Notamacropus eugenii: one gene and its partner. The protein of the gene in region 2 interacts with the protein of the main gene of each other region in a pairwise test. Links are inferred from orthologs where the notes say so. Each region holds a gene or a part of one and is shown on either strand. Other genes may lie near its edges.

Evidence for each region.
Region 1: the proteins of GABARAPL1 (region 2) and SCYL3 interact in binary tests that used the Homo sapiens proteins (3 or more experiments, as listed by UniProt). The two-hybrid records come from large-scale screens. The link is inferred for Notamacropus eugenii from reciprocal best matches to the Homo sapiens genes GABARAPL1 and SCYL3.

What each region holds. Positions count from the first base shown.
Region 1 is NC_092873.1:476,482,367-476,492,452, forward strand, and holds the start of SCYL3 (protein-associating with the carboxyl-terminal domain of ezrin), read left to right. Parts: upstream 1-6,050; 5' UTR 6,051-6,135; coding exon 6,136-6,375; intron 6,376-6,396; exon of another isoform or gene 6,397-6,465; intron 6,466-6,622; exon of another isoform or gene 6,623-6,750; intron 6,751-10,086. UniProt on the Homo sapiens protein: May play a role in regulating cell adhesion/migration complexes in migrating cells.
Region 2 is NC_092874.1:200,018,769-200,028,986, reverse strand, and holds the start of GABARAPL1 (gamma-aminobutyric acid receptor-associated protein-like 1), read left to right. Parts: upstream 1-5,669; 5' UTR 5,670-6,361; coding exon 6,362-6,451; intron 6,452-10,218. UniProt on the Homo sapiens protein: Ubiquitin-like modifier that increases cell-surface expression of kappa-type opioid receptor through facilitating anterograde intracellular trafficking of the receptor. Involved in formation of autophagosomal vacuoles.

The DNA of each region.
Region 1 (10,086 bases), on a different chromosome or scaffold from region 2:
GATATCTGGACATGACCAATGTGCGGATTTTGCTTACTTGACTATATTAATGGAGGTTTGGAGGAAAGGGGCAAAAGAAGGGAGATTTGGGAGTGGTAATTAGACCTAGTAATAATATCAAGGCCAACAACAACAAATGAGAGGAAAAAAATCAATGAGAATTTAAAAGAAAATCCAAAGAAGAAATCAGAAAGAAGGTTCAGAGGGTAACAGATAAGTGAAACAGTTTTGGAATGCACATGCTGAATGAGTATGTACTTTAAAAGAAAAGTTGTACGTAGTAAGATTTTTGTTCTCATATAATCTTCTTAAGATGTTCATGTTTCTTATTTGTCAAGTGCAGAATAACTGTTATTAATTATATTAATAAAGCATGGATTTATTAAACACTATGTACAAGGTTTTGGAATGAAAAGAAAAAATGAAACAATCTCTGCTGTCTTTTATTGGGAGAAACAACATGTATGTAAAGAAGTATATGCAAAATATGTACAACGTAAATCTGGGGGTGAGAGAAACAGTATGAGTATTGGAGGGCCTAGGAAAGGCTGCATGTTAGAAAGTGGTGCTTGAGCAGAGTTTGGAAGGAAATGAGATTTTTAAAAAAAATATTTAATATTTTTTATTTTTCAAGTATCAAGTTTTAAAAGTTAATCTTTTTCTCCTACTACTCTCCCACTGAGAAAATTAAAAAAAAAAACCCCAGATTCCCTCAGTTCATAGCCATATAACCTACAAAACAGATGCCCACATTAGCCATGTCTGAAAACGTATGTCATTTTCTGCATTTTAAGTTCATTATTTCTCTATCAGAATGTGATGAACTTATGGTTTATCATTGAATTAATGCTGTTAATTGGAATTCTTAAGGTTTTCAAAGTTGTTTTCTCTATGATGTCATTGGATAAACTGTTCTCCTATTTCCGTTCACTTCTATCTGCATCGTTTCATAAAGATCTCCCTAGGTTCTTCTGAAATTGTTTATTTCATCATTTCTTATGGCATGGTGATATTTCATTTTATCCATATAGTTCAATTTGTTTAACCATTCCCCTGCATGGTTTCCTTAGTCCCCTAGTTTCCAATTTTTTGGCTATCCTGTAAAAAATTGCTATAATTATTTCTGCACATGTAGATACTTTTCCTCTTTCTTTGATTTCTTTGGTTTATAGGCCTAATAGTGAAAAAGCCAAGTCAGAAGGCATACATTTTAATAACATATTGGACATGGTTCCAAATTTCTATAAGATGAGATTCTAAAAGATAGGAGCGAAAGTGAGAAGTCTCCTGGCACTGGCAAGATGCCAAGGTGGGAGATGGGGTGCCCTATGTGAAGGACAAGTAGAGAATCATGGAGTACAGGAAAGGGATATGTAGACTGAGACTGGAAAGGTACACTGGGTCTTGGTTGCAAAGGGATTGAAAAACTCAGCAGAGAGGTTTATGTCTGATCCTAGAGGCGATGGGAACCATTGGAGTTTGCGAAGTAAAGAAGTAACATGGTCACACCTGTACTTCAGGAAAATTAGTTTGTCAGCTATGTGGAGGAATAATTGATGAGGGAGAAGAGATAAGATAGGAAAGTGAATCAGGAGGTACTTACACTTACAAAAGCAGTGAAAGGGGCAGATCTGGGTTTCAGACTAGTCATTTGCAGCCAAAAATCCAAAACAGAACACCTCATGTTACATTAAGAGACAGGTAGTATCCTTAACCTGCAATTTCCACTCCCTGTCTTCTATTGGTCTCCGATCTCTCCTCCCTAGATCATATCTTGGACCTCTCTACTTTGCCCTCCCCAGAGGGGCCATTTCCACCCCTCACTTTTTCCATACTCTGGACAGTCTTGTTTTTCCCAGAACACTCATTCCTAGAAACCTTCCCTTTCCCAGTGTTGGCCATTCTGTCTCTCAAGCCAAGTGACACACAGCAGCAGAAAAAGGAGCTATATGCTCTCTTGCCCCACACTATTATCTATCATTTTAATTCAGCAGCCTGTTCTTTGATGTATACTCCATCTCTGTCACTGTTCAGATAACTGTTGTGACCTCTGATTAGCTTTCAGGTCACTCTCTGTCCTTTCTCATAGAGTTCAGTGTTTCAGTCTTCTAGTCTACCATAACTCCTGGATTCATCTGTAATACCTTCTGTATCTACCCTGATGTAGCGGATGATGCAACTGCAGCTGATGACCCACCTTTCAGGGAGCTGGAGAAAGACTTTGCCAGTAATGCAAAACACTATAGCTGGGGACAGGGGCAGGCAGGGACCAGGAAATCTCTCTTCAAGAGAGTTTTAGGCTCCAATTGCCTCTATTTGTAACATCCAGTATCTATAGTATCTAAGGGTATAATATGTTCAAAAGAATACCCTGGCAGATTAGCCCCACCCTCCCAAATATGATTTATACAAAAGATCATCACAAAGAGCTAATAATGAATACATTTATCCAAACAATAAAGCATACATAAATTAGAGAAGTTCTACAGATTATAGTGTACAGGAAATACACAAGAATAAAGGAACATTAATTCCTTCTTCAGCTGAAATTTTAAAAATGATCTCAGCTCAAGTCAGGAGAACAATCCCACACAGGAAAGGTCTTCTCTCGGCAGTCTCTAGAATTACAGGCCCAGGAGTTGAGAAGAGCTGGTTTCTTCACGTCTGCCACTTAGAAAACTATAGTCTGGCATTTGGAAGCTTTTTCTCAGTTGCTTTCCAAGATCTCTGAAGAATCTCAATAACCGATTGAATTAAGTCCCTTGTTGTCATTTGTCCTTTAGTAGTGGACCATGACTTTAAGGAAGTGATGCTATGCCATGTGAGTGAATTGGATTTAAGTCAGTGACCAGCAAAGTGATCAGCCTGACTTTCTCCACCAGTGCTGAGTCCAGTGGTAAGGTACAGATCAGGATGACTGGAGGTGGCGCTGGATACGATGGGAGACTTTGGCCTTTTTAAATTAAGGTCTTAAAGCCCATAAGAAGTCATCAGGCTCAGCCCTCAAAAGTCAAATCAGAAGCCAAAAAAAGCTGAAGACAAAACTGCCCCAGGCTTGGGTGGAATCTGACTTACACTTCTGATATGCATGCTTAAGTCATCCCCCATTCCTGGAAAGAGCCTTCTTAATCACTCTGTTTTCCAACCTTAGTTGTTTTTTTCTTCAAGGTTCAGCTCCAGGCCTGACTCCTCCATTGGAACTTCCCAATTTTTTTCCCTTCTCCTCACCAAGTTGGTAGTAGTCTCTTCATCCTCAACTGATTTGGTTTATTCCTCCAAAAGAATGTAAATTTCTTGCAGTTGGGCATTCTTGCTTTTGTTTTGTATCTACATCTGGCATGGTAACCTTGTACATGCTGGGCATCTAATGTCTAACTGAAGTGTATGAGGAAATAATAGTTCTGCTATACTTTATCCTAATAAAGGCTACATCTGCACTAGGAAAGCTATAGAGGTAATCACTGATCTGTGACCCCCCAAAAGAGTCTAGATTCCTTCAGAGTGGGTCTGACAATGGGAGCTTAATGTTTAAATCACTAATTTCCCTTCTTTTAATTTTAGTCGCTGAATTGATAATTTATGGACCTACAAAATTATGAAATGGGAGTAGGCAAGCTCTCAGTTCTCTGGGTACTTGCCAAGAAAGTCCATGACTGGCAACAGGAAACGGGGCAGCAAACACACTTTATTAAGGCACAGACAAGCACTGAAAAGTGGGGAGGGATACAGAGGGAATGGATGGGGAAGGGGATGAGGAAGAGTATGGACCCGAGTTGGGAGCACTGGGCAGCATGGTCTGGTGGAGTCTCACTTTGATGGGGTTTGGGGGAGGCCAGGCCAGAGCCTTGGAGGGGGTTCATTAACATCCAGAGCGTCTCAAAGTTACCTGTACAACTTCAAAGTCAGCATGTCCGCTTCATCAAGCTTATCACCGTCTTTCTGATGTTCTGCTGGTCTGGAGCAGTGGAAGTCTGGATTTGGTCTAGAACTGACCTATCCTAGGACTAGAACCCTTGCCCGTACGGTTTCCCCTGATTCAGCATATATTACAAATGTATATTGTAACTTGTGCTCCTTCGACCTTTGGAAGAATACACAAGGGAGAAGGCAAGTGTACCCTCAGACTGGGGAGCGTTCTGAGGAGCTTGTTTGGCCGGCTTCTACCGGCTTCTACGTGTTTAGGATGAAGGCCATCTTTTGTTTGTTCGTCGTTCAGCTGGCAGAGCGGGCGCAGCGAGGGAGAGACGTTATAAATAGAATATTTTTGGAAGGCCCCCGGAGTCGTTCTCGCCTGCCCTCCCTCCTTTCCACTTGCTTCACTTCCCCGGTTTTGATGCCCTTCCCTCGGCTGAAGACCCCCCTCAGAGCTCTTCCATCCTCTGGGGCCCGGATGCCAGATGACTGCGCAGCCCCCGCCGGCAATGCCCACGCGGTCTCCGAGCCCCCTGGCACTCCCAGGACACGGCCCCTCCCACGGCCCCTCAGCAGCCACAAGCCTCCCCCCACCTGCCGGCCCGGCTCGGACCCAGCCGGAGGCTGAGCTCGGCCCTTGGGGAGGGCTTTCCCTGCACGTCCCGCTCCTTCCCCCTCGCAGCGCCTGAACCTGCTCTTTTCTTTCCAGTCTTCTCGTTCCTTCTCCCACCACGTCCGGCACGAGTTCTTCTCCCAGGGGGTGGATTGAGACCGGCCCGGAGGAGGGAGGAGGGAGGGGAGAGGGAGGAGGGAGAAGAGAGAAGAGAGGGGGGGAGGAGGAAGGAGGGGGGAGGGAGGAGGGAGAAGGGAGGGGGGAGGACGGAGGAGGGAGGAGGGAGGAGGGAGAAGGGAGGGGGGGAGGAGGGAGGAGGGAGAAGGGAGGGGGGGAGGAGGGAGGGAGGAGGAGGGAGAAGGGAGGGGGGAGGAGGGAGGAGGGAGAAGGGAGGGGGGAGGAGGGAGGAGGGAGGAGGGAGAAGGGAGGGGGGAGGAGGGAGGGGAAAGGGAGGAGGGAGGAGGGAGAAGGGGGGAGGAGGGAGAAGGGGGGGAGGAGGGAGGAGGGAGAAGAGAGGGGGGGAGGAGGAAGGGGAGAGGGAGGAGGGAGAAGAGAGGCGGGGAGGAGGGAGGGGAGAGGGAGGAGGGGGGAGGGGGGCACCTCAGCGGACCGAGAAGGAGAAAACAAGCGGCCGGGCGTTTACGGAACCAAGGTTCGGCCTGAAGAAACCGAGCTCCATTTCTTACACTACCCAGAAAAGTCATTCAAAACCAAAGCCGTGTGAAACCGGAGCGGGCGGTGCCGGTCTGCTGGCTGGGCGACGGGTCGAGCGCCTCGGTGGCGGGACATTCACGTAGCGCGAAGACCAGATGGCACCGGACCCCGAGTCTGAAGCGACGGAGCCCGGGGGGGTGGGGGTGGAGGGCGCGTCCACCTGTGGCCCTAAGGCCAAGGCGTCCCCTGTCCCCGGGTCCCTGAGGGGCCTCTGCCCAACCAAGGGTCGCAAAGCTGGGGGAGCAGAGTCCGGTCGTGGTTCGATTTCAATTCAAATTCAACGACTTCTGTTGCATAAAGCCAGGCAGCTTCGTTCTCACGGCCCCCCCTCGGCCGTGGCCAGGGTTCCCCGAGCACCGGAAGCCGCGGGCCCGGCTGCGCAGGCTGGGGCGGACCCGGGAGCCGCCGGGGACCTGACGGTCACGGGTTCTGCCCTCGGCCCCAAGGGCGCTCCTCCGGGGACTTTCGGAAATGGCTTTTTTGTTCCGGACAGGTGAACGTGCGCTGGCCGGAGTCACGTCCGGGCCGCTCACCTTCGGGGGGCTCAGTCTCCGTCTCTGTAAAAGTCAATGGACCGAGCGCAGAAGCGCGCGCGGGCGGGGCCGGGACCGGGGAGCCCAGGCCCCCTTGGCGGGGATAAGGGCCCGCCTGGGCGGGGGAGTGGGCGTGCGAGAGGGGCCGGACCAGGCCGGACCAGTCCTCGGGCAAGGAAGGGCCCACGTTCGTCCGGCCGAGACCCCGCAGCGTGGGGCTTCCAGGCGACTCGGGACTTTAAAAATGGATTCACTGTATTTATTTGAATCTATCCAGTATCTAGAAAAGGCCTGGGAACCTAACTTACTACCGAGGGGCGGGGGAGCAGAGGCCTCGCCCTCAGGTCCGGGCTCACCTGTCGAATGCTCCGCCTGGCCAGGTCCGGCGGAACTCGCGCTGCTAGGAATCGCCTACGAAAGTCTGCCCGAACCCATCATGGCGGCCAAAGCATCAGTCCTTCGCCAGGGAAACTTGAGTCCCGGCAGAGGAACCAATCGGAGTGCAGGAGATGCGCGGCGCACCGCCCCCTTCCCGTACGACGTGAAACGGAGTGGCCGGGCAGCCATTTTGGATTCGGGCGGAAGTGGAACCCGAGCTCGGTGGTAAGGCTTAGAAGTACTAGAAGGAAAAGCTTCCCGAGATAGCTTTTGGGGCGGAGGCCTGACCAAGAGTGACTGTCTCCGCCGGCTACGGTGAGGGACAGCGCTCGGCGCCACGGTCCGAGGGCTGGCGCCGCTCTAGTGCGGTCCCGGGCGCAGCCGCCTCTCTGGTGGAGTCGGAGGGACGGAGGCTGGCGTTCTGTCCCGTTTCCGGGGGCGTCTCTATGGTGTCGGCTGGACCGAACCCCGGTCAGTGGGCGCAGGGGCCGCAGCCTGGCGGGGCCGGGAGAAGGTCAGGGGTCATAGGGGTCGCTGGTAGTGAAGCGGATCCCGCCCGGAGCCGACACCCTCCGCTTCTCGGCGCTGCCGCCCTCGCAGGTGAGAGGCCTGCCCTCCGCCGCCTCTGGGAGTGCAGGTCGGGGTCTGGGGGCCGCCCGGGCCGAGCCGGAGCGCGTGCCCCGGAGGCTCGGGGCGCGCGTGACGGGCCCGGGTCGGCTGTCGGGGTCCGGGCCAGGCGGGCGCCCGCAGGCTAGTGCTCCGCCGGGCGGGCGGGTCCGAAAGTTGGTGCGCGGTCATCGCGGGTCCGGGCCCCGCCGGGCGCCCCCTCGCCGGTCCGCAGTCTTTTCTGCCGGGCCGTCTGGGGGGAGGGGGAGTGTTCGTAAAAGGAGAAAGAGCGAGGGCATGGAGGTCCGCGTGCCCAGCCCGCCCGGCCTTTCCCGAAACCCGGGGGCAGGCGGTGCGGGGAGCGCGCCGTGGGAAAGTTGGGGCCGAAGTGGCCTTCGCCCCCTGGACAAGGACGTGGCAAAGGAGTCCCCCGGCCTGCGTAGGCAGCGCCGGCCTGTGCCCGGCGGGCCGCACCAGCCGCGGACCCCGAGTCCGTGCCCGGGGTGGGGCCGTAGGTGGAGCGGACACGTGGTTGACAGGACCGTGACGTCCGGTAAAAGCGTTCTCTTGTACTCCTGCCGCGCTCGGAGCCCTCCCACCTGTGACTTGGGCTCAAGCGTCTCCCTAAGAGTTCGTCTGCGCCCCTGCCTCTGCTTCAGCCCAGGCCGTCTGGTCAGGTCCGCCCGGCGCTGCCCAGAGAGCTGACCCTGCTGGGACCGCGGCCCGCACAGAGCAGCTGGAACTCGGGTTTCTGCTTCAGGACAAGATTCCAGAATTCGTGTAGCCCTTCAGGGTTGGCACGGTGCTGTGTCCTTACAGCAGTCCTGGGAAGGAGGGGTTAACGTTACCCTCGTCTTACGGATGAGGAAGCTGAGGCCCGTGAGGCCAGGCAGAATTTAAGTCCTGGTCTCCCGAGTCCCGGTGCGGCGCTCAGTAGGGTGCCGGAATCGTTGTCGAGTTTGTTTCCTTGGTTGTCACGGGCGTCCTCCCCGCTTGTCAGTTTCACGGCGGGTTGTTACTGAGGCCAAGCATGGAAACGTAAAATCTGATCTTTGGAGGGAGCTGGTCTGCCTGCCTGCCTTTGAGCTAGTAAACTTCGTTGTGTTTGCTTTCCTTTCTGGAACAGCGAGAGAACTCTGAAGTCTCAAGGGAATTTGCCTAGATCTAGTCAGTAACCTTGCCCTTTACCCTCTCATACCCTGAACCCGGATGGCGCAGTTTTCGTTAACATCATCCAGACATCTCTCTAGACGGATACTTGTAGTATGCAAAGGATTGCAATCATTGATTTTAGATATTTGTAGATAACGTAGCTGGTTTTTTTCCAACTATGGTAACAAATAGTTTTCTTTGAAAACAGTATTCACAACTAGCTATAGAAAAGATTCCTCTTAGCATCACCTGAGCTAGGATGTTTTCCTCAGACTACTGACATTAATGCTGGTGGACCTGGCAAAATGAGTGTGGCTCTTGCTATCAGGCAGTGAGCTCCAGGAAATGTTTGTTGATTGATTAGCATCTGGTCCTGTCACCTATCAGATTTTCCTTAGAGCATGTGTGAATCCATCATTTGGACATTCCCTTAATTGGTATAGAGGAAACTGTCTGCCCCTGTTCTCTAAGTTGTACGCACAGGGGGAGGTGCTTCCCTCTTTAATGGCCTTCTTTACTAAGCTTCTCGGTAATTCCTTATTTTTAACGTTTTGCAGCCTTCATATACCTCTCCTTTGACATTTTAGCAATATTCATTTTCATTCTCATGTCTCTCACAACCATAGAATAGAATAGAAGAATATTAGTATTAACAAGATGAGCCTTAGGTACACAGAGAAGCTCAGGGTCCTTAAAAGTCAAGTCAGCAAGTTCTTATTTATTCAGTCATTCATTCGTAAATTTATTTATTTATGCCAAAAACAGTTTCTGCTCTCAAGGAGCTCACAGCCTAGGGAAACATCATGCAACAGTTATGTACAAACAAATTATAGGAGAAAGAAAAAATCCCATAGTGAAGGCATTAGCAGTAAGGGGCATATATGTGTGAGTACAGTTCTGTAAAGACAAAATAAATATCTCCTGAGAAATGTGGACTTCTTTAAAATACATATTTTTTTTTTTACCTTAAGAGAAATTCCAAAGGGTCTTGTACATAAAACATCTTGCTTTTCAAAGACATCATTTTGTTTTTGCTGTGCCTATCTAAAACTTTGTTAGACTGATTGCTAAGAATCATACACAAAGAGTAACACATGAAATCAATGATTATAGTTACTTGAGTAGCTGAGTATATTTCGCATAGTGCCTTATGGCTTACAAAGAGCTTTACATACACATTCCCAATTTTATTCTCATAGAAACCCGTGAGATAGTGGAAATATGCAACAGGTTGGATAGGACTTCTAGGTACCTTCTCTCAGGACATATAATTGCAGCAGATGGACACCGTTGGAAGAGGAAGCTTCCAAATTGGTGAGCTCACACATCCATTTGAGAATTGATGAGGGAGACTGAGGCTCAGAGGTTGTTTAAGGCCTGTATATGACATTGTCTCTGTGCTTTTGAATAGGTTGTCCCTGATAGAGGGAATGGACTCCTTGACCACCTTGTAGAATCACTGTTCTCAGTCAGTCGGCTATGTCCTCTGCTAGGTACTGGGAACAGTCTGTCACAAAGAGCTTACGTTGTAACAGGGGACAGTGCAAGTTGGAGATATCAGGTACTAACAATTGAGGGGATGGGTAGAAAGTGGTGCTTGAGGGACTTCTTGAAGAGAGAAATTCTTTATAGCAGAGGTGAAGAGGGGAGTGCATCCCAAATATAAGGGAGTAGGAGTACAAAGCTCTGGGAAATGAGGAGGAGGAAGCCAGTTTGGCTGGATCACCAACTGTGGGAAAGGCAGTCATATCCAACAAGGAGGGAAAGACAAGCTGGGCAAGGTTTTGAAGGACTTTAAAAGGTAAGCAGAGGTGTTTATATTTGATTCTAGAGGAAAGAGAGTTATTGAGTGGGGCAGTGATATGGTCAGATCTGCATTTTAAAGAAAGCACTTAGGCAGCCATATGCAGGATGGACTGAAGTAGAGAACTGAAGCTGTTGTAGTGATGAGAGTCTGAACTACAGTGTCAGAAGTAAAATGTTGTGGAGATAGAGACCACAACGTCTAACAAATGATTGGGTAGGAGACTTGGAAAAAGAGCTGGGGATAATGTCTAAGTTGAAAGACTGAAAAATAAATGACTGTACCTTTGACTGAAATAGGGAAGTTTGGGGAAGGAGTAGATTGGGATAGAGATAAAAAGTTATGTTTGGGATATGTTGAGTTTGGGATATATC
Region 2 (10,218 bases):
CAGTGCAACTCTGCCTCGATTATACAGCTCACATCCAAGTCAAGACATCACCCATGATTTCATTGGTCCTCTTCGAAGTCAAAGGATGAGCAACAACCAGGGACCCAGCCTGTGGTAGGCCTGCACTGTTAGTCTGTCTTCTGTATTGATAGTCTCTAAATCAATGCCCTCTGGTTGAAAGCCCAGAAGTCAAGAGTTACATTGATCATTTGAAATTCATTAAAGAGAAAATGTAGTCTTTGTTCAAGACGATAAAGGCACTGTGCTATATAGCTATAACTTCTCTAGTTTCTGTTGTTTTTTTAACCTATCAGACTTTACAATTATTTCTTCAGTTTCCAAACTGAGAGTTCATTTAACGCAATATGGATCAAAAACATGATATGATAGAAAAAAGTATCAAAGAAAAATATTAATACTGTACTATGTATTTTATTTTTTTCATATTTCATATTTTTTCCAGTTATATGTAAAAACAATTTTTAACATTCATCTTTTAAAAATCTGAGTTTCAAATTCTCTCCCTCCTTCTTTCTCTTCCTCCCTACTTCAGAAGGCAAGTAATTTGATATAGGTTGTACATGTGCTATCACACTAAACACATTTATGTAACAGTCATGTTGTAAGGGAAAATACAAACAAAAACAAAAAAAGTAAAGTAAAAAAAGTATTTTCAATCTGCATCCATCAGTTCTTTCTCCAGAGATGGACAGCATTTTTCATTACAAGTCCTTCAGAATTGCCTTGGATCAGTATTGCTAAGAATAGTTGTCATTCATAGTTGAGCATCATAATATTGCTGTTACTGTGTACAATTTTTTCCTGGTTCTGCTCATTTCATTTTGCATCAGTTCATGTAAATCTTTCCAGGTTTTTCTGAAAACATCCTGCTTATCATCTTTTATAGCACAATAGTATTTCACAATCATATACCACAACTTGTTCTGCCATTCTCCAACTGATGAGCATCCCCTTAATTTCCAATTTGTTGCTCCATAAAAAGAGCTGATATGATTTTTTTTTGCATTTAAATCCTTTTCCTTTTTGTTCTTCATCTCTTTGGGATGCAGACCTAGTAGTGGTATTGCTGGATCAAAGGATTTTATAGCCTTTTGGGCATAGCCCCAAATTGTTCTCCAGAATGGTTAAATCAGTTCTCAATTCTACCAACAATGCATTAGTGTCTCAATTTTCCCATATCCATTCCAACATGTTGTTTTCCTTTTTTGATAGGTGTGGAGCACCCCAGAGTTATTTCAATTTGCATTTCTGTAATCAATACAGATTTAGAGAATTTTTTTCATATGACTATAGATAGCTTTGATTACAGCCTCTGAAAACTGCCTATTCATATCCTTTGACCATTTATCAGTTGGGGAATGACTTGTATTCTTACAAATTTGCTTCACTTCTCTATACATTTGAGAAATGAGACCTTCATCAGAGACAACTGTAAAAAATTTTCAGTTATAATTACTGTGTATTTGCCTCCCCCACCCCCATTTACCATACTCTTTCTCTCCTTTCACTCTGCTCATCCTTGAAAGTGTTTTGCTTCAAGACTACTGCCTCCCCCAATCTGCTCTCCCTTCTATCAGCAGTACCTCACCCCCTTCTCTTATTCCCTTTCCCTCCTACTTTCCTGTAAGGTACAATAGATTTTTATACCCAGCTGAATGTGTATGTTATTCCCTCTTTCAGCCAATTCCAATGAAAGTAAGGTTAAAGCATTCCTCCCCATTTCCCCTATCTTCCTCTCCACTATAAAAGCTCCTTCTTACTTCTTTTTTTGAGGGAATATCCCCCCATTCTACCTCTCCCTTCCTCCTCCCAGTGCATTCTTTTTATTATCTTTTTATTTTATGTTTTTAGACATCATCTCATCTAAATTCATGCCCATGGCCTTTATGTACATTCCTTCTAATTGCCCCCAAAATGATAAAGTTCTTACGAGTTACAAGTATCATCTGCCCATGTAAGACTATAAACAGTTTAATCTTATTGAATCCCTTATGATTTCTCTTTTGCGTTTACCTTTTTATGTTTCTCTTGAGTCTTGTATTTAAAAGTCAAAATTTCTATTCAGCTCTAGTCTTTTTATCCTCTATTTCATTGAATACTCATTTTTCCTCCTGAAGGATTATAACTCCATGTTGCTCATAGTTTAATCTTGGCTCTAATTCTAGCTGCTTAGCCCTCCAGAATATCACATTCCAAGTTCTCTAATGTAATGTAATCTTCTGTTAGCCTGATTATGGCTCCACAATATTTGAATGGTTTCTTTCTGAGTGCTTGTAATATTTTCTCCTTGACCTGAGAGTTCTAGAATTTTGCTATGATATTTCTGGGAGTTTTCAATTTCATTTCATTTCACCTCTCAGGAGGTGATTCTATTTTACCCTTTGATTCTAGGATATTAGGGCAGTTTGATAATTTCTTGAAAGATGATGTCTAGGCTCTTTTTTTGATCATGGCTTTCAGTAACCCACCTTTGGGCAATGCAACAGAGTCCTTTACCCAATGCTAACAAAGGGATCTCTGTAATCTCCTTCTGACCTCCTTACCATCGGTGGGCTGAGAGCTCCAGAAGCCAAGTCCATTGCCCCCAGGTCTGTTGCTTCTTGCTGAGGGGTTCTGCCTTTGTTGGACTGATCTCCACTCTCATTCCAGTATACCAGACCTTTCCTGCTGACCTTTTAGGTTATCTTGGGCTAGAAAATTGTTTCACTCTATCTTTGTGGGTTCTGCCATTCAGAATTCATTCTGAGACATTATTTTACAGTTGTTTGAATGGGAATTTGGGAGAGGTCAGGCAGGTCTCTGCCTTTTTTCTACCATCTTGGCTCTACCCTCTCATTTCCATATATATTTTTATATATATTCAAATATTCTATTTATCTCTATATATACATATATATTTCTTCATATCTCTATATTTTCTGCATATATAGTATGTCAGGAATAATTTTATTTAACATTAAATACTAACAGTATACAAGTCATTTCTAAATTGAAGAGAGAAATATTCAAATTGGCATAGTTCCCCCACGTCCTTAAACAAGTCTCACTTCCCAGAAGAATTTAAGGAAACTTTTATAGGAATTTTGAACAAAGAAAATAAATTTTGGGTTAATATTCTATTTCAACAGATGGAACATAGTCAATTGATAACCACTTACATCTTTCTTTGACCACTCCCCTCAAGTATGTATAGTCCTATCCCATGACCTCCTCCCCAGATCCATATCATAATTCTTTTAAATGGATAATAGGGGCACTACCCTTAGGTGAATTACAGCCCAATTGCTTCTGAGGGTTGGGAAGCTCATAGGTAACCTCAATTAAAAGTTTGGTTTTCATTCTTAATCAATTACTTTTGAATAGGGAGAAGCTTAGAACGTTTTTTTAAGACAAGAGAAATATTTTTTCTTAATACAGTTGGTGAAACTGACAATAAGGCTTTTATGCTTCTACAAATGCTAATGTATTTCTGACTGTATTTAGAAATATACAATATCCATAAATAAAATGATGAACATGTTCTACTCTGCCACGATCAGATCACAACTACATCATTGTGTTCATTTTGGGGTGCCGCACTTGGGGAGGTATTATAAAAAGCTGAGAGTTTCAGAGAATGGTAACCAGGACTGTGAAGAGCTTAACATTCATGTGATGAATTAAATGAGTGAAAAAGGATTTAATAAACTTTGCATATGTCAAATATTGTTCTAGATATTTAAGAACATAAATATAATGAAGTACCTTAGTCCTACCCTCAAAGCGCTTAAGTTTGAGGAATGTTTCAGGATGGAAAAGTATTATTTCTTAATATTTTCAGGTGAGAAAAATATAATGGGAAGGTAGAAAGAGGGATGAGGTTAGATGCAGAGGTATAGTTTGGAAATGGCCAGAAAGTGGCATGATGGCCCGTTTTCTCGCAAAGTGAGTTAAAAGCTCGATACATGCCAATCTGCTGAGTGAACCTGTAATGGCTAACATGGAGATAAGGATGCTTGGCAAACATCATAGCTGTCTTTAGGTATCTGAAGATCTGTCACATGGTAGATGATTTGATTTGCCCTTTGGGGCAGAACTACAGGGAATGGGTAGGAGTTGTAATGCGGTAAACTTAGCCTTAATGTACAGAAAGACTTTCTAACAGAGATCACAAAGTGGAAGGGGTTGCTTTGGAATGAGTTGAAGAAAAATATTAATGACTATAATTTTGTTTTAGCCTCAAGTCTTTCAGAAAACAAATTTTATTCATTTAACATTATTCTAAATCCAGTCTATGCGTTAGAGAAAGAAATGACCAAATAAGTAAGCTCCCCAAACCCCATTCCTTTGGAAATCTGTCATCAGACAACTTGAGGTAACAGGAGTCTTGATTAAGGAAAAGGACACAAAAATATTAAAATACAATTTTGGTTTAGCATCCTACTGTATCAAATAGAACAATAGTCACTTAATAACAACCCATTTCCTTCCTTGACCCCTCAAGAGTTCTCCAGGAGTAAATAAAAGGAAACACCCTTTAATCAAAATCCTAATCCTTTCAAAATGGGAACACCAGTGATCTTAAACTGGCCAAGTCAATTTTTTTGTTGTCCTAAATTGGTTACCACATCTAATCCATTTACTAAGGCCTTAATTTGTAGGCTTCCCCTAAAAGGAAAAGTTTGAGAAGGGTTTTGGCTGGAAAATATTATTTTTTAATATTTTCAGCTGAACTAAAAAAAAGAGGTTTTTAATATGCTTCCACAGATGCAATCAGTTCCCTATCACTGGAGGTCCTTAGGCAGAGAGGCAGGATAACCACTTAATTGGATTTGTGGGAGGAATTCTTTCTGAGATACATGGTGAACTACATCAAAGGGACATTTCAACTCAGTTTCCAGTGATTTACAATTTTAGGAGTGATTGGCTTTTCAGAAAGTTTCTTCATAGGTCAGCTAAAGCAAGTCCTCGGTCCCCAAGCACCACTGAATCTGAAGGCAGAAAAACCCAGTTTGAATTAGAGGCCTACTAAACGCCATTTGACCTTGGCCAAGTCAATTAATTCTTCTTGGTCTCAGTTTCCTCATCAGTACCATAAAAATAATAATAACTGCACCATCTGCCTCCTAGATTGTTGTCAAGGGAACCATGCAAAGGAACATTTTAACCTAAAGCTATTTAAATCAAATCTTTTATTAGTCTAATGCTATGGAATTTTGTGATGCTGCGTTTATCCCCCTGGTTACCTCCTCTCCCCAATTCGGGCCGGTGGCTGCTGACAAGTCTCTTGGCAGACAGTAGTGGGTAAGGCCCAGTTCATCCTCATCACATGATTTCTGTTTTTCTTTCTTTCAGCAGTGAGGCCTTGCAACACTAGTGATTCTAAGAGGAGGGTGGGGAAAGGGCTGGAAACGAGGTTTGGAAGAGTCCACTAAAAGGGAAATTCTACTCCAGCACCTTAGCCTCTCTAAGCCAGGATTGCATTTTTCCTCATTCTCTATCCTTCTAAAGCCCTTAGTCACCTTGTTTATGTGGTTCCTCAGTCTAGTAATTTGCAGCTAACAAACAAAAACAATACATAGAAGTGCGCAGGCAGAATCCCTGGGTAAACTGAGAGGACCCTCAGAAGAAAGGCCGAGAGAACACTTAAAGATTTCTGTATCTGCCCCACACGTAGCAGGTCTTCCACTCCCACCTCCTCACCCCTCCACCCCTTACTTCACACCCCCAACCACAGCCAGCCACCCCAATGTGCTTAGAAAGGCTGGACTTTAATCTCTGGTAACTGCTCCTGGATTCAACCAAAAAAACCCCACGACGAAGTGGAGGGGGAGAAGTACGCATCTTTGGTACCTTGCCTTAAGACATTCCGTAACGAAAGAAACAAATAGCGTTTTAGACCATACGAGGTTTTGATTAAAAAGATTTGGTGAAGGATTTTTTTAAAAAGGAAAGTTAATATCGTGGGCTCATTTGAACAACATTTTCGTTGGCCCCCGGTTCGGAGTCAGCACCGGGACGGGTCTAGAACATTGTGAGGGAGGGAAGGGCGGAGCTTTGTGACGTCACAATACCAGGCTTGCTACTGTGTTGCCTGTGTGTTCCCGGCTCTTCCAAGAACGCTGCAGGATTTCCCCACCCCCACGCCGGCTCTTTCTCCACCTCCCAGCCCGGGCCAGCCGGGGCCTCAGTTCTGAGCGCTCTCCGCGGACTGGTGGAGCAGAGCGGGCAGGGCAGCAGAGGTTGGCACCGCTAAGGCTCTTCGTATTGTACTTCGACCGGGAAAAGACAGACTCGGCGAAACCATCCACTCCGCTTAAGCCAGGCCCCCCAGGGGAGATCGGAGACGCTGCGGAGCATCATGAAATTCCAATACAAGGAGGATCATCCTTTCGAGTACCGGAAAAAAGAAGGGGAGAAGATTCGGAAGAAATACCCTGACAGAGTCCCTGTGAGTGGTTTGGGGGCCTGGAGAAAGGGTGGGAGGAAAGGAAGAAGGAGGGGGAGGGGATGGGGACGCGACAGCTCTCTGACCTGAGGAGCAGGAAGGGTCCTTGGAAGACATTTCGTCTCCAATTCCCTAATAATGTAAACTGGATATCCCTACTGATGACATCCCGCACCCCACCGTTAGTAGCAGAGGCATAGGGGGCTTCTAAACTGAGCATCAGCAGAGAATGTGTGTTGTTGTGAGTCTGAGGAATGGGGGCAATGCACCATCACTGCCTTGATACGTGCGTGTTCGGAGATGAAGCCCAGTGACTCAGGAGTGCGCCAGGTGCGTTTGTGTAGGTGGTGCTTGTGTTCAAGATGCGGCGCTCTTGTGTGAGAATGGGTAGGATGGGGTCTTTTCTTGACTGCATGGAAGAACGCCAAGAGAAAGCTGTTGATCAGGGTGGCCACCATGGCGATGGCTCTGCGGCTTCGCCCTGTTTGTTTATGTCCTTTCAAGGGTTTATTCAGCTCTGGTTCCATCTTCGGGCTTCTAGACCTTTTGTCCTTGGAATTAATTGGGCGGGGGAAGAGAGACATGGGCTCCTTCCTCTCTTAAAAAAACACAAGACCGAACCGGCTTGGCAAACAGGGGCATAATATCTGCGCAGCAACCAGTTTGCTTCATCATCCTTGGCTTTAGAATTAACGCATGTTAGGGGGAGAACAGCTTTTTTCTGGTGACTGTTTTGCCTTTGACCAGACTGACTTGTCACAGAAAATGCAGGAGTTGGGGGTGGGGAGAGTTCTTCTTTCAGCTCTAATTTATCATATTTTCTGTCCCTAACACCCTGCTGCGCCACCCCCACCCCTTTCTCTGTGAGGGAACATGCTGCGCCTCTGTGAAAGTGGGACTGTTTGGATTTGGGGAAAAACAGGTTCATATGGAGGTAGGGTGGGGTAGAGGGAGCATAGACCATAGAGTTTGGGAGGTATGGGTGCAAAAACTAGAGGTATGGAGAGGAAACAAAAAGAATCAATGAAAAATGTTTTAGTGCTTTACCCAGGCCCTGCTCCCTGCAGAATAATTGAGGCCTTATTGATTGACATTACTGCTGCAAAATTTAGAAGTCAGTTAATCCAGGATGGAGATCTGGAAGTAAAGATAATGGGGATATGAGGCATTTATTTTTATAGCTTTTGAGTTCCTAATGTAACAGCTGAGACCTTCTTAAGACTGACGTTTCTCCAAGCAGACTAGTTGAGGTAGGTTTGGAAACAAGGTAGGCCATCTTGCCACATCTGGATCCAGTTATAGAATGTCAGTCACCCTCTCAAAGGAGACTAAGGAGGTCCCCTTTCCAGTCACCTCCCACATCTCCTGCAGGACTCACTGGTTAGTATTTGGTTAGAGGGAAAAGATGACTGAGTAAACAAGTTCTCTTCTTGACTTCTTTGAAGCATGTGACATTGACTGTCCATCCCTTTCTGGAATTTTGTGACACTATTTTTGGCTTTTGTTTTATTATTGATTCTCCTGCCTTATCCACTCTCCACTTATCCCCTCCTGCATGTCTCCTAACTTCTACACCATGCTCTTTAACTTCTCTATACATTCTCTTATGCTACTGGGGATACAAAGGCAAGTGATATAACCTTTGCCATCAAGGGAGACAACATAAATAAGTATACAAAATAAAATCAGTGGGGGGAATGACACTACCAGTTGTGGAAATCAGGAAATGCTTCCTATTGAAGGTGGAAATTCAGCAGAATTTTGAAGGAACATTTTATAAGACTGACCAGGTGAGATGGGAGTGCATTCCAGGCATGAGGGACAACCAATGCAATGACATGGATTTAGGAGACATAGTTTCTTGTGGGAGAAATAGCAGTTTGACTAGACTTTCCTTTAGCCTGTATCAAAGGAAGTCTTGATTTATTGATGACCTCAGTGGCCTCAGGCAAGTCATTTAGCCCTGTTTGCCTCAGTTTTCTCCTCTGTACAGTGAACTGAAGAAGGAAATGGCATACTGCTCCAGTATCTTTGCCAAGAAAACTCCAAATGGAGTCACAAAGAGTCGTACATGATTGAAAAAATGACTGAACACATGGTGACTCCCAGATCTCATAAAGTCTGAATCTCTCTTGATCTCCAGTTCTCCATCACAAACTGTACTGTCTCTTTGATATTTCAAACTAAATATGTCCAAAATGTCTTCCTTTGTCTTCCAAACCCACCCCTGTTCCTTCCAAATTTCTCCCAATCTAAAGGACGCCATCTTTTCAGCTATTTTATTGTTGTTCAATCTCATCTGACTCTTTCCCTGACCCCATTTGGGATTTTCTGGGCAGAAATACTGAATTGGTTTGCCATTTCCTTCTTGGAGGAAACTGAGTCAAACAGGGTTAAAGTAACTTGCCTGGGGTCACACAACTAACTATTGGTGTCTTAGGCCTGATTTGAACTCAGAAAGGGTGAGTCTTCCTAACTCTAAGCCCAGTACAGTTGCTATCCAACTACCCATCTTTTTAGTCAACCCAGGTTCATAACCTTGAATCTTCCCCTTTCCCTCACCCCCCTATCCATTCTGTCATTATCTTTCATGCTTATTGGCCTTCTACAATACCTTTTTCATCTGCCATCTCTCCATCCTAGTTCGTAACAGTATCAGCTCTTGCCTGGATTTGAATAGCCTTGAAATTGGTCTTCCTACCTCTAGTTTCTCTTCACTTCACACTGGAATCCAAGTGATTTTTTTTTAAAGTTTGGATCATGTCATTTCAGTCACTCTGGTGGTTCCTATTATAACTCCAGAATCATATCCATGGATGGGGAACCTGTGGCCTCCAGGTCACATGTGGCTTTCTAGGTCCTCAAATGTTGTGCTTTGACTGAATCCAAACTTCACAAAACAGATCCCCTAAATAAAAGGATCTGTTCTGTAAAACTTGGACTATGTCAAAAGGACGCATCCAAGGACTTACAGGGCCTCAGGTACCACACCCCTGATATATCTTAAATAACAACTTTGCCGAAATCGACCTTTCCAGCATTATTATACAGTACTCCCCTTCCGATATGCTAGTCTAGTCAGACTTACTTCCTTACACATAATTCCATTTATTTACCTTCTGCTTTGTTTACTGGTCGTCCCCATTGCCAGACCTCTTTGGCTCCAAGGTCATGCATAAGGGCCAAATTTTAAATGAGGCCTTTTCCAGTCCCCCCCAGCTGTTAGCAGTGTTAAACCCCTTGCCATCATCTTGTATCTATTTTTGTGCGCACGTGCATGCACACACACACACACACACACACATACGTATACACACATATATACACACACATGGTCTCCCTTCCTCCTTCCTCCCCCCTCCCTCCCTCTCCCCCCAATAGTAGGTAAGCTCCCTGAGGGGCAGTGTCTTGTTTTAACTTTTCTTTTGCTATTCCCAATGTTGAACCCAATGCCTTCACACTTACTAGGCCCTAAGTACATGCTCCTGAAATTGATTGATTAATCATTTTGCCCTCTCTGCCTTAAGCTGATATAATAGAGTACTCATTCAGGTTTTCAGGACTCACCTAATCAGTGTTGGACTTCATAGTTTGTTATCTCTCAAAAGAAAGGGTTGGGCTGGGTGACCTAAGGGCCTTTCTAGCTTTAAACTTATGAATCCCCTCATTTTACTGATGAGGAAACTGAGGCTCCAGGAGCATTAGGTGACTTGCTCATGGTCACAGTTATAGCGCATAGTCCCCAAGTCCTGATTAAAGTCTGATTTTTC